2 linked regions of the Caenorhabditis elegans genome follow. The protein of the gene in region 1 interacts with the protein of each later gene in a pairwise test. Each region holds a gene or a part of one and is shown in the gene's direction. Other genes may lie near its edges. The genes, in order: cpl-1 and nepr-1.

Region 1 (7,500 bases):
TTTTTGAAAAATTTTCAAAACTATTTTTTTGTATCGGGGCATATAAAAAGGTACAAATTTCTTCCAATTGAGCCCTTTGCACCGAATATGAGGTGGTTTTTAAGCTTAAAAATTGCTTCAAATATGTAATGGATGTACCTTTGAAAACGTTTTTCTTTCACAAAAAGGTCCGAAGCCATATTCAAACCTTCAAAAAGCATCGGTGCAACATATTACATTACCCAAACACAAGCCATGCTCCTACTTTCGGTCAAATATATGGGACTGGAAATTTTGAGTTCGAAAGTTTTAAATCCCAAAAAAAATTTTTTTGAGATTATTCAATTAAATGGTTCCTTGGTTCACATGCAATTAATTTTTACTAAATAAAATGTTTAAAAGTTAGCTATAAAAATTCAGGGCGCGATTGCAATTTTTAAAAATTAAAAAAAAAATTGCCACTGAAAGAATCGAACACGAGACCTTTATTCCGTTTTACCAAGCATTTACCATTTGGCCATCAATCCCTGATTTTTATTGTTTTCAATGTTTTGAACCATTTTATAAATATTGAAGATGATTTTTGTATATGTAAAATGAATAAATACGAAATAGTATTGAAAACTAGGAGGGCGCAGAGAAAAATTTTCAGATGGCGCTTTCAGGGGTTCAGAGTTGAGTTCCGCCGCTAAAATTTTTGTGGTGATCTAGGCTAACCATAAGCTTTCAAATGACATGCGTCTCAATTTAAAGTCCGATACTAGATTGACTTCCTTTCCTTGTCAGGATCGATTTTTGTTTTACGACACATTGCTATTATCTCTGCCAACAACACATCGTTTAACTAGGTTTACGAGTCTTTTTGAATATATGTAGATGGATATTGTTTTGGTTAGAAAACCTGTACTGAATGTTACTGATATAATTTTTCTTGAGGCCAGAAATTTCATTTTTGCCTTCGAAATAAAAACTGGAAGTTTAAGTATTTCTATTTAAATATGTCCAAATTAAAAAAAAGTTATTTGCATCTAAAAATTTACTGAAACTTTACACTTTTCTCCCGAAAAAAACTTCAATATTCAGTTCTAAATTTCTGAAAATTAAAATTTATTTTCTGAAAACGTCTGAAATTTCAAACTTTTCATATAAAAATGACAAAAATTTTAGAGATTCCTGTGCAAGAATGTCTGAAGTTTCAAAGGTACTTATTAAAAATTCTTCAAAATCTGAATTTCCATATTGAAATTGGCGGCATTTTTATTTCTTCCATGTTTAGAATTGTATGAACTTATGAAATTCTATTGAAAAATACGTAACGATTTTCCTTTCCCGTCTGAAATTTAAATTTTTATGTGAACACGTCTCAAAATCTGAATTTCTTATGGGAAAATATCTGAAGTTTCAATTTTTTTTTATTTGAAAATAAATTAAATTCATTTTTTTACGATTTTTTAGGTGCTGAAACTTTGAATTTTGTATCGAAAAATGTCTGAAAGTGAGAACTTCCAATTATAATTTTTCTTACATTTTTCTTGTTAGTTAGTTGAATTTTGAGTTTTTAAATTACTGAATTTCGAAATTCACGTGCTGAAAGTTATAAAAAACTTCATACGAGTTACAGCATTTTTTGAGATTTTGAAATTTCCAAATTTCGAAATCTCTTTTTTTCCCTATTTCCCCAAGATTAAACAATTGTCGATTTCAAAAAATTGCTTAGAACATCTCAAGTCTGCCATTCCCCACTCCAAAAAAAAAACAGGTTCCCATTATCATTCCTTATTCCCGTAGATTATCTCACCGTCTTCACCAGGTATCTTATCAATAGCTGGATGATTATGTAATTTCTTGCTGATGACATTTATTTTCTCGTTTTTCATTCCTAAGTTTTTTGTTTGGAAATCCTTTAGAATGCGAAACAATTTATTTACATTGTTGGCCACCTGTTAAAGTGACCTAATTGTTTGTTTGTTTTCTGTCCTTTTTCCCCCTGTTTTTTCAAAGTTAATTTTAAAAAACTTGACTCACTTTGTAGTTTGACCTTTGCTAAAAAAGCAGCCGACATCAGTCAAGGACCACTTATAAAATTTTGAGACATTGCTTTTTGGGGCCCAAAATCGTTAAAAACTACCGAATTTCGTAATGAAAAGTTTTGAAAATTTCTGGAAAAAAAACCGAAAAAAAAGTTCATACTTCAAAAAGAGCAAAATTTGATGGAAGTTTCTGTTCCTAACGTCAATAAAACAGTAGAAATTGACACAAATTGCTGGAATTTTGCGGTTAAACTCCAATAATTGACACTTTTAAAAGGCGAACAATTTTCTCGGTTTTGGAAACATTTCTAGCAAAACTGGTAGTTTTCTAAACTTTGGGGGCACTACAAACTACAAAAACCTTAATTTTCTGTATGTTCAATACTTCAAGAAGTTCGGAAACTTCCGCTCGAAAACTTCCGTTTTTCGAAACACTTATCCCTGATCACATGCTTATCTGACTTAACCCTATTATGATAATCATCCAATTTCTGTACTATTCTGAGCTCCTAGCACCGGAGCAAGCACTTTCACCCCTAATTTCCCTCTATTATCAGTTGACTGATAACCTGATGGTTTGATCGCTCTCTGTTTCTCTCCGCCTCTCCATCTCTCTCCTCACACTCGTCCTGGCACTGATTGACGCTGTCCCCGCCTACTTTAGGATCCTTCATAAACTCGCCTCGGGAGGTGTTCATTGTAGTTCCTATTCCATTTCCATATTTTTTCGTGTTTCCCCTGCTTTTTGTAGAATTTTCAAATTAATTTTAAATGTTATAAAATTCCAGAATGAACCGATTCATTCTTCTGGCACTGGTTGCCGCCGTCGTCGCCGTCAATTCGGCCAAGCTGTCCCGTCAAATCGAGTCGGCCATCGAGAAATGGGACGACTATAAGGAGGACTTTGATAAGGAGTACTCGGAGAGCGAGGAGCAGACCTATATGGAGGCATTTGTCAAGAATATGATCCATATTGAGAATCACAACAGAGATCACCGACTCGGAAGAAAGACATTCGAGATGGGATTGAATCATATTGCTGACTTGGTAAGAATATGCATTTCAATGCACCATGAGCTGCGGCGTCCGACGTTTTGAGCTCCGGGGACTCAAATTCTGGCTCCGAGGACCGAAGTCTCTAGCTCCAGGGTCCCAAGTTTTGAGCTGCGGGGTTTCAAAATTCAAGCTCCGGTTCTTAAGTAACGAGCTCCGGGATCACAATTTTTGAGCCCAAGGATCTCAAGTTTGGAGCTCCGGAGTCCCAAGTTCCTAAAGCGAGGATTTTCAAGTTTTCCTTTTTTGCATTTCCTAATTTCGACAGATAAGAAAATAAATACCCCCTATAAAAACTTCAAAAAGCTGTTCTCTGTCTCGTTCCACTATCAAAATCTCACCCAGCGAGAAAAAAAAAGATAAAGATATGAAATCCTCGTCTCGTGACTGACCAACAGCTGGCTTATCACACCACCACACTGACAAAACACACGAAGGTCATTTGATTTTCAAACTCTTGTTTTTTTCAGCCATTCAGCCAATACCGCAAACTCAACGGTTACAGACGTCTCTTCGGTGACTCCAGAATCAAGAACTCCTCCTCTTTCTTGGCTCCATTCAATGTTCAGGTAATTTTTTGAGAGGGGTTTTGTTGGGGTCCAGACACTAACTTTCTCGTCGATCAAAACTATAAAACTATTTGCATAAACAAAAACGTTTTCAACGACCGATAAAAATAATTCTTCGCTGACCGTATTTTTTGAATTATCATCTCTGATGATTGATACGCTTGAAAATTGAATTTCGCAATGTTTTGGTCACCGAAATGTTTAAAAACAAGATTCAAATGGTTAGAACTGTTTTTGCTGAAATTTGAACACCAGAGCTTAGAGCTGTGATGAACTTCTAGGGGATAAGCCTAAGCCTGAGCTTCAGTCTAAGCCTAAATCTAAGCCTACGTCTAAGTGTACGCCTAAGCTTAAGCCTCAGCCTAAGCCTCAGCCTAAGCCTAAGCCTAGGCTTGAAACTGATTGTGAGTTGATGGATTTGGCTCAGTCCAGGAAGAAGTTTGGTCTATGCCTAAGCCTTAGCATAAGCTTGAGCTTCCCAAGCTTTCGGCTAAACCAAACCCTCAGCTTAAACTCAAGCCTAAACCTATTCAATTTTCAGGTCCCAGATGAGGTTGACTGGCGTGATACCCACCTCGTCACTGATGTCAAGAACCAAGGAATGTGCGGATCGTGCTGGGCCTTCTCCGCCACCGGAGCCCTCGAAGGACAACACGCTCGCAAGCTGGGACAACTCGTCTCCCTTTCCGAGCAAAACCTCGTCGACTGCTCTACCAAGTACGGAAACCACGGATGCAACGGAGGACTCATGGATCAAGCTTTCGAGTACATTCGTGACAACCATGGTGTCGACACCGAGGAGTCATACCCATACAAGGGACGTGACATGAAGTGTCACTTCAACAAGAAGACCGTCGGAGCTGATGATAAGGGATACGTTGACACCCCAGAAGGAGATGAGGAGCAACTTAAGATCGCTGTCGCCACCCAAGGACCAATCTCTATTGCTATCGACGCCGGACACCGCAGCTTCCAACTTTACAAGAAGGGTATGTTTTGTGGGAAGATGTGAGGGGGGGGGGGGTACTAGTTTTTATTGACGGGTCAGTTTTATTTGCATTTTGGATGATAATGATAAGAAAGCTAGTTACTCGGGTTTTTCATCAGAGACAGAGAGGGCAATAGTGATAAGAGAACTCGTGTTTTTGAATGATACCCTCTTGACAATAATAGTTTGGGTTCGAACTTGAATGTGAAAGTGGTGAAGGAATTTATAAATTGTTTAGTAGCAAAGTATAACCCCATCAGCCTAGGCCAAAGTCTAAGCTTAAGCTTACGATTAAGCCTAAGCCTAAGCCTAAGCTTACGCCTAAGCCTAAGCCTACGCCTAAGACTAAGCCTAAACCTAAGCGAAAGCCTAAGCCTAAGCCTGAGCCTAAGCTTAAGCCTAAGCCTGAGTCTAAGCCGTAGCTCAAGACTAAGCCTGAGTCTAATCCCAAGCCTAGCTCATAAGCCTAAGCTTAAACAAATGCCTAAACCAAAGCCTAAGCCTAGGCCTAAAACTAGGCCTACAGCATAAACTCAGCCTAAGTTCCACCGAATATCATCCATTTTCAGGAGTCTACTACGATGAGGAATGCTCATCCGAAGAGCTCGACCACGGAGTGCTTCTCGTCGGATACGGAACCGACCCAGAGCACGGAGACTACTGGATTGTCAAGAACTCGTGGGGAGCTGGATGGGGAGAGAAGGGATACATCCGTATCGCCCGTAACCGCAACAATCACTGCGGAGTCGCCACCAAGGCCAGTTATCCATTGGTCTAAATTTGAACTTAATAATTAATTTTTTTTTTTGGAAAATTTAATTGTAGCCCCGAATTGCAATTCTTTGACTCTTTTCTGTCAAGCTTTACCTCGTTTTCTGTATTTTTTTGGAATTTCTCTAATATCTATAATTATGTATTTCAAATTGTGGTGTACATAAACGATTTTTGAATTTAGTTTTGCATTTTTCTGTCTTAAAAACAAGTGAGGAAATAGTAAGAGCATATAATTAGCTCGTAACAAATTTGAATTATAGTTTTCGTTTTCGCTTTTAATTCAGACACCAAGTTGTGACGTCCTTTTTAGCGTGTCTACGCCCCTGCCTGCTTGCCTAGTCAATCAAAGTCCCCCACGAAAAATTAAATAAACATTGCAAAGCAGCGGTTGTCGATTGTTAACCCTCTCTCATTACAAACATTTGCCGCCGCTGTACACCGCGGTTCCATGGTGTAGCGGTTAGCACTCAGGACTCTGAATCCTGCGACCCGAGTTCAAATCTCGGTGGGACCTATGCTCTTTTTTCGCAGTTTCTAACCTCAGAAAGTAGACTGATGTTCTTTCCCAAGGGGTTCAATTTGCACGTATTTTTCAATAATTATCCACCTCTTTACTTTTTCCCCTCGAATTCATTCTATGCGTGTTATTCATCGAGCTATAAGTTTCCCTGCCTCTCAAATATTTTGTTTTAAACTTTTAATCTCAACATGGACACCCCAAATTTTTTGTCTACTTCATTACATATAATGTCCTGCGTAGAGGTCCCCGTGCACATTTTTGGAGCATATTGTATTCTGTGTAAAACTCCGATTACTATGAAATCAGTCAAGTGGTCAATGTTAAACTTACACTTTTGGAGTGTTTTTCTTGACTTGACAATTAGTATATTGGTGATTCCATATATATTGTTCCCAGCAGTAGTTGGTAGATCCTTAGGATTATTGGAATTTGTTAAAGTTCCTCAAAAACTCCAGCTTTATCTCATCGTATCCCTGTTTCCAAGTGAGTTGTGCTCTTTGTGCTCATTCAACCGGAACACTGCTTGTTTCAGCGGTCGGAGTTTCGATCACTACACTTCTCGAAAATCGGTACTATCTGATGTTTGCACGCTTCCGGAGATGGAAATATTTTCGGACTCCGTTCCTTACCAGTTTATATCTGGCGTCAGCGTTCTGCTTTCTACCTTCTTATTTAATGATTCCTGAGCAAGAGGCAGCGCTCGCGGAAGTTTTAGAGGTAAGTGACTATAAAATAATGACAAAGGAAATTGAAAGTGCATGATATAAAGATTTAAAATTAGGCCTAATGAATCCGCGCTGAAACAATGAAATTTGAGTGTTAAACTGAAAAATTCCATCAAGTGCATTTGTGTCATTTTTGTCCATTATTCTCCAATCCAAATAGGGACTAAAAAATGTATTTCTGCACCTTTTTTCAATCTTTGCACCCTGAAAAATGACACATCTTACTCGTAAATTGTTCAATCGGAAATAGTTTTTCCGCTTCACAGATGATGTTTTGATTTGCAAATTCAATCTTTGATTATGAAAACTTGAAAATGTTCCTTTCTTTCATACTAAATATATAATGTTAGGCAGGGGTGGGAAGCAATTGCCGGCCGACAAATTCGGCAAATCTGCAAATTGCCGGTTTGCCCATTTGCCGGAAATTTTCATTTCCGGCAAAATGCTGGTTTGCCGTTCGCAGGAAAACGGCAAAACGCCGGTTTGCCGAGTTGCCGAAAATCGGCAAACCGGCAATTTGCCAATTTGCCGGAAATTTTTATTTTCGACAAATTGCCGGTTTGCCGATTTGCCGTTCGCCGGATATCAATTTGCCGGAAGTGATTAGATGGATTTTTTATAACACGGGAATACTAAAAACTGTGCCTTTCGGATTGGCTTTTCCCCTTTTCTCTATACATTTTTATAGTACTTGTTTACCTTTCAAAAAAGATGTAGGAACATTCATCGGATGAGTACAATTTTGCCGGTTAAAATTGAAGTTCTGAAAAATCGGCAATTTGCCGGTCTGCCTTTTTGCCGATTTGCCGCGGTCCCTGATGTAAGGCATATATTAGAAAATTTCAAGCTATTCCAGGGAATA
Region 2 (5,901 bases), on another chromosome or scaffold:
CCAACTTGGGTTACGGTGAGTTCATTTCACAATTAGGAAAAAGTTCCGAAAAAATTTTAAGCGAATTTTTTTTTCGAAATTTAAAAAGTATTTGCGCCAAAAATATGGGCTATTTTTCGAAATATCGGAAAAACAAAAAATCATGTTTTTGAAGTAAACGACAGACTAGCAGATTTTTTGCTCACTTTTGTTCGAAGAAAACTTTTAAAAAAAGAAACATCTTTAACCGCAACCATAACTAATTTAATTTCAGAGAAAATGGATCGGAGAATTGTCAAAAGAAATGCCTACAATTGCCTTCCATGCTTCAATCAATAACTCATTTGGAAAAGGAGCAGTTATCAATCTTCTTCGTCAATTTGCAAAACTTCATCCAGACCGTCCACAGATCAGTGTCGGTTTTATCGGATATCCGAATGTCGGAAAATCGTCACTTGTGAATACACTCCGCAAGAAAAAAGTGTGCAAAACAGCTCCGATTGCTGGAGAAACCAAAGTTTGGCAATATGTCATGTTGATGCGTAGAATCTATTTGATTGACTCTCCAGGAGTTGTCTATCCACAAGGAGATTCAGAGACACAGATTATTCTGAAAGGAGTTGTTCGTGTCGAAAATGTCAAGGATCCGGAGAATCATGTTCAAGGAGTCTTAGATCGATGCAAACCGGAACATCTTCGCCGTCAATACGGTATTCCAGAATTCACAGATGTTGACGATTTTCTCACGAAGATTGCTATCAAACAAGGACGTTTGTTGAAAGGAGGAGATCCTGATATTGTTGCAGTTTCTAAAGTTGTGCTCAATGAGTTCCAGAGAGGAAAGCTTCCATACTTTGTACCTCCGCCAGGATGTGAAGAGCGAGCTAAAAAGGACTTTTCTCAAGCACCAATCAATGAAATGTGCGCTGATGACGATGAGCAATTGCCTTTGGATGCTCAACTCGAGCTTGATGATGTGGCAAGAGTGAGTTTTTTTTTAAATAACTGTGAAGCTTGAATAAGTATATTACTTCAAAAATCCTAAATTCAGATATGCCATAATAGAAAATCAGAAAAAAATCGAGGAAGACTGAAAACTCCAAGTAAAAACTCGAATTTTCAAAACTCGCTAAATTACCTGTTTGAATTCCCTCCTGCAAGAAATTCGAACTGGAAATTTAGCCAAAAAAAAGTGTTTTTCAAGTTGTATTCCCCGATTTTTCGTTTTTCTTTTCTGATATTTCTGAAATTAAGACAATTTTAAATTTTTTGAAGCAAAAATCCACCTGTAATACCAAAGTACAATATTTTTTTTCAGAATGGAGGTCCAGATGAGGATGATGACGAAGCAATTGACGATGAAGAACAGGAAGAACTGACAGAAATTGGATCAACCTGTTCTGGACTCACAGATCTTTCTGGAATCAGTGATTTGGCTGGAGACTTGTCAGATGCTGATGATGTGGCCGATGATGATGAAAAGCCATCGTCCAGTGATTCTAAGACAAAGAAATCAAAGACTGATGTGGCGAGCGTACGAACACGTGGAAAGCGTGGAGGAAAGAAGGCGAATAAGGCTAAATTATCCGGAAAGACTATCGTTCAGGCCGCGTCGGAAAAGAAGGACAAGGTAACAATAATTGTTTGATGCATTAATTTCAAAGTTTTTCAATGGTAAAATATTAAATTTTCAAATTCTAGAGCGTCGTCGAATTCGCGAAACCAGGAGCCACAAAGACTAACATGTGGAGAAAGAAGTTGGAGAAAAGACGAAAGGTCAAGCATCAGAAATAGATGACTTCATTGTTTTTTTTTGTTAATCCCTTTTATTGTTAAAGTTTTTTTTTTCTGTTTTAATTTTTCGTTTCATTTTATCATTATTGTTGACTACTGTTTCCCGTTCTGTAAACCATTTTCTGATAACTTGTTCAAAATACGTTCACCACTTCAATGAAGAAATTTTGTTGTCAATTTTTATGGATTTTTTTTTGAATAATTTTCTGGTTTGATCTCCTATTTTGATATTTCTAACACTTTATTGGGTTTTTACAAGACTAACATACTCTTTAGATATTTTAAAAGAACATTGAACGGTGGTTTTGAATATTTGAAACTAGTTCTGATTTTTTGAAAAACGCGTTATGAAAAAATTCCCAAAAATTTATTACTTGGACTTCTCAGAAAATGTCTATGACTTTCAAAAACTACCCGTTCCTAAAAATATTTTTAGTTCTGTGGGAATACATATATATTATTTCAGAAAATCGAGAGAATACTGATTGAGAAGTCGAATTAAAGCCGAACGTTTTTCTGTCCGTATTTAGTTACATCACTAAACAGCACCAGAGATGGCGATTCAGGCCAGAAGAATGCCCGAGGATCCATCGACGGCATGCGAAGGTTAGGAAGAATTTATGTATTTTAGAATTGGAATTGTTGTGAATTTTCAAAGTATTGATTTTAATTTTTCCAGATCTGAAATTCTTTGAAAAACGGCTAACAGAAGTGATCACATATATGGGACCAACATGTACTCGATGGAGAAGTAAGTTGTCTAGCCAATGGAACATGCCTATTTTATGCCTATTTTCACAGTTTCAGTCGCAATCGTCATCTTTGCGGTTCTTGTCGGCGTCATCGGTTCGAAATATTTTGCCAATGAGGTAAGTGTTTAGATAAATCTTGTAAAACTCAAAAACATGAATATTCTAGTTACAGAAAATTGAAATCTTCCAAATTCCGATGATCGACATGTTTCTCACCACTCATCTCGATTTTACTCTCTGCTTTTTCGTCGGTCTTCTCTTGTTTGCCGTGTTTGGTGTTCACAGGAGAATTGTTGCACCCACGATGTGAGTTTAAAGATTTTAGAAGTTTTCTCGGCAAAATTTTGTTTTGAATTTATATTAAAATCGTAGGTTTTTATCTCGAAAAAAGCTAGGCTTATGGCGGAGAAACATTCAGAAAATATATTTATAATTAATATATTGTTGGAAAAGCTATAAAAGACTTCTTTACCAATTTTCAAGCATGTTTCGTCTTTTGAAATTATTTTTAGGTTGTAATGTTGAATATGATTTTTTTTCGCTCGATTATTAATTTAATTGCAACAATTTCGGAATAAAAATCATTAAAAAGCACCGGAGAACATAACGAAAATTTCTTGAAAATTCCCTGAAAATTTCTGAAATTGGTGAATCTAATTGAAAACGCCTAAATTGACGTTTTACCGCCAAATTCCTAATGAGACCCATAGTTTGGGGGCGGAGCTTTTTCACGTCGATTTCGGAAAGTAGCGTCCCCATAGTACAAAACTCAAGTATTTTAAAATTTCTTTTCCGAATTTATCTGCTCACAAAACCGCTCAGACATTACCTTTCCAATAAAAATACAAATGCAATACTTTCAGTGTTGCTCGCCGATGTCGTGATGCTCTGTCTCCATTCAGTCTGAGTTGTGATCATAACGGGAAACTCATTGTGAAGCCAGCAGTTCGTAATTCTGCTCCATAATACTATCGAGGTGTACACCCAAGATTCTCTTTCATTAAAAAATAATTGATCTTGGTGAGGTTTTCCTCCCGTAGTTTGATTATTTTTGCCACCGTTTCCTACTTTTCTCTTGTTCCGACTTATATGTGTAAAATATGGTGATTCAAATTGTATTTATTTTTCCTATTTCCCCGCCCATTCATGGAGTCGTGTTTTTTGTTTGAATTTCGTGACTCGAATAGCTCAAAAAATTCAACTTTTCTTAGAAACAGCCGAATTTACAACGGTGCTATTGTATTCATTCATGTTTCTGGAGATCTAAGTAATATTGTTTTTTATCAGTAAATTTTTATAAAAACTCGTTGTCTTTTTGGGGAGATTAGCACGAAACACTGATTTTTTTCAAATTATAGGACCTAGGTCCTATAAGTTTGCTATAAGTTCAAATTTTGTATGTATGTTCAATTATTCCGGTACCCCCAAAGGTTCACTATTTCAGACTGTTCTTTGGAAAGTTATTCGGTTTGAAGAGTACGATGGAAAAACATGTTTCGATGAACTTGCGAATAGTAAACTGATGAGTGATTCTGACGAAAAATAAATGAATTATATAGGGAACAAGTAATATTCTTCCATAATTCCAAATGATTGTTCTCTGAAAATGTTGAGAATTGAGGTTGAAAATTTGCAGTCTCTAACCAAAAAATTAGCATAAACCGTTTGAATTCTGGCAAAAACACGAATGGATTGTGCCAGAACAATGTGAAGAAATCGATGGATATTACTAATCAACACACATAATTTATTTACGATTGGTTCATTAAAAACAGCTGTTAGAATTTCAAAAAAACACCGTTCACACATAATATGTCAAGATTGGACCGCCCCTATCTTGGCTGTATGATTTTTTTCAGTTTTTCAAAACGTATTTCATTGTAATTCAAAGTATATATATATATATATACATACTTACTATTTGAGTAAATATTTAAAATATTACTGTATTCAAACAAATGCATTTACTTCAACTTGTTTCTTTTAAAATTTACATTTTCATATACATTGTTCCATGTTTTAATGATTTCAAAACTGTATTTCCACATTCAAAAACTGCGAACTGTGCTCCTATTTCTCTAAGGGTTTATGTAAATAATGTCCTCAAAAGTTTAACCATTTGAACCAGACTCCCTTTTGTCCGCCCTCTATGACATATATTTCCTATTTAATTGAACTTTCAGCCACATTTCAATTGTCGTTTTGTAACCATGATTGTTGGAATTTTGGCATGTCTCACGGCCACTTTTACTCTCGGATCTGTTTTTGCACCTATCAAGAGATTTCCATCAAGTGATGGTGAGTTTTTTACGTTTCTAAAATCCTTTTGGCATTTTATTTCGCACAAAATGATAGTAGGCATGCATTAAGACGGATAAGTCTTATCCTTTATTCTGGAAAATTTGAAGACAAGTTCGAGAACCTGCAATATTTAGAAAAAATTAATTGAAGCAACTTCAAAACATAAAAATAAATGGAAAATTTTTTAAGCCACAAATTTTTAAAAAGTTGGTATTTAATGATTATAACACAATAGGAGGGGGTGGAAAACTGTTCCCCCATATATAACTTTCTGTAGAGACTGCATGGGTGCATACTATAGTATTGAGATTCTAGGGTTGTGCTGACAGTGTTTCATCACAAAGAGATTTTCAGGTTTCATGGTTCAATTCTTCATGAGTCTTGGTGGATTCATCACAAGTCTTGCAATCCATGCTTTACTTGGTTTTCCCCCAATTTATCCATTGGCTATGCTTGGAGGAGCTCTGTGGTGTGCAGGTAATCACTTCAATTTTAAAAAGTGAAGAAATAATATTTTAGCAAACGCCTTTGCATTTCTCATAATGAACCGTCTTGGATTAGCAGTTCCAATTCTTATTTGGAGTACTGTATCCTGTTTAACAGGATGGGCAACCACTAGATATGGGTTATTTGGTGTACCGAAAGGTATTCCAAGTTCAGTGATTCTTAATTATATTGGTATTATTGTTCTTGTTGTCGGGTAATATTAAAATCATATGTTGTTTTAAATTTAAATTCATTATTTCAGAAGTTCTTTCTTCCTTTTCATCAAGAGCCACGTCTACATTCCAAAAAAACGAAACAATTCTGAGAGTCTTACGTCGGGAGGAGAAATTCCATCAAAGAAAAGTGTAATATTTCGTGAAATTTAATGTTTGAAATGAAATTAAAATGTGTGAAATTTCAGATGGCAACGCAATCCTCAGAAGAAGATGATATAGTTCAACACCCACATCATGTTTCTCCAATTGTTAGAATAGTGTAAGTTGAATATTCAACTGTAGGGCAAAACTCTTAATGATAAAATGATAACTAAATTTATTAATAAACAATTACAATAATTTATTCGAAGATA

Evidence for each region.
Region 2: the proteins of cpl-1 (region 1) and nepr-1 interact in a two-hybrid assay, tested with the Caenorhabditis elegans proteins (one large-scale study listed by BioGRID).

Annotation. Positions count from the first base shown.
Region 1 is NC_003283.11:16,590,644-16,598,143, reverse strand, and holds cpl-1 (Cathepsin L-like), read left to right. Parts: upstream 1-2,797; 5' UTR 2,798-2,798; coding exon 2,799-3,056; intron 3,057-3,532; coding exon 3,533-3,631; intron 3,632-4,172; coding exon 4,173-4,620; intron 4,621-5,188; coding exon 5,189-5,397; 3' UTR 5,398-5,572; downstream 5,573-7,500. Other genes in the region: srh-269 (Serpentine Receptor, class H), read left to right, coding at 6,102-6,396, 6,446-6,630, 7,495-7,500. UniProt on the Caenorhabditis elegans protein: Cysteine protease which plays an essential role in the degradation of proteins in lysosomes.
Region 2 is NC_003279.8:8,396,679-8,402,579, forward strand, and holds nepr-1 (Transmembrane protein 188), read left to right. Parts: upstream 1-2,239; 5' UTR 2,240-2,327; coding exon 2,328-2,379; intron 2,380-2,452; coding exon 2,453-2,524; intron 2,525-2,580; coding exon 2,581-2,642; intron 2,643-2,691; coding exon 2,692-2,831; intron 2,832-3,388; coding exon 3,389-3,491; 3' UTR 3,492-3,827; downstream 3,828-5,901. Other genes in the region: ngp-1 (Nucleolar GTP-binding protein 2), read left to right, coding at 1-15, 254-964, 1,298-1,609, 1,681-1,773; T19A6.4 (Transmembrane protein 144), read left to right, coding at 4,736-4,823, 5,181-5,303, 5,346-5,526, 5,575-5,677, 5,734-5,807.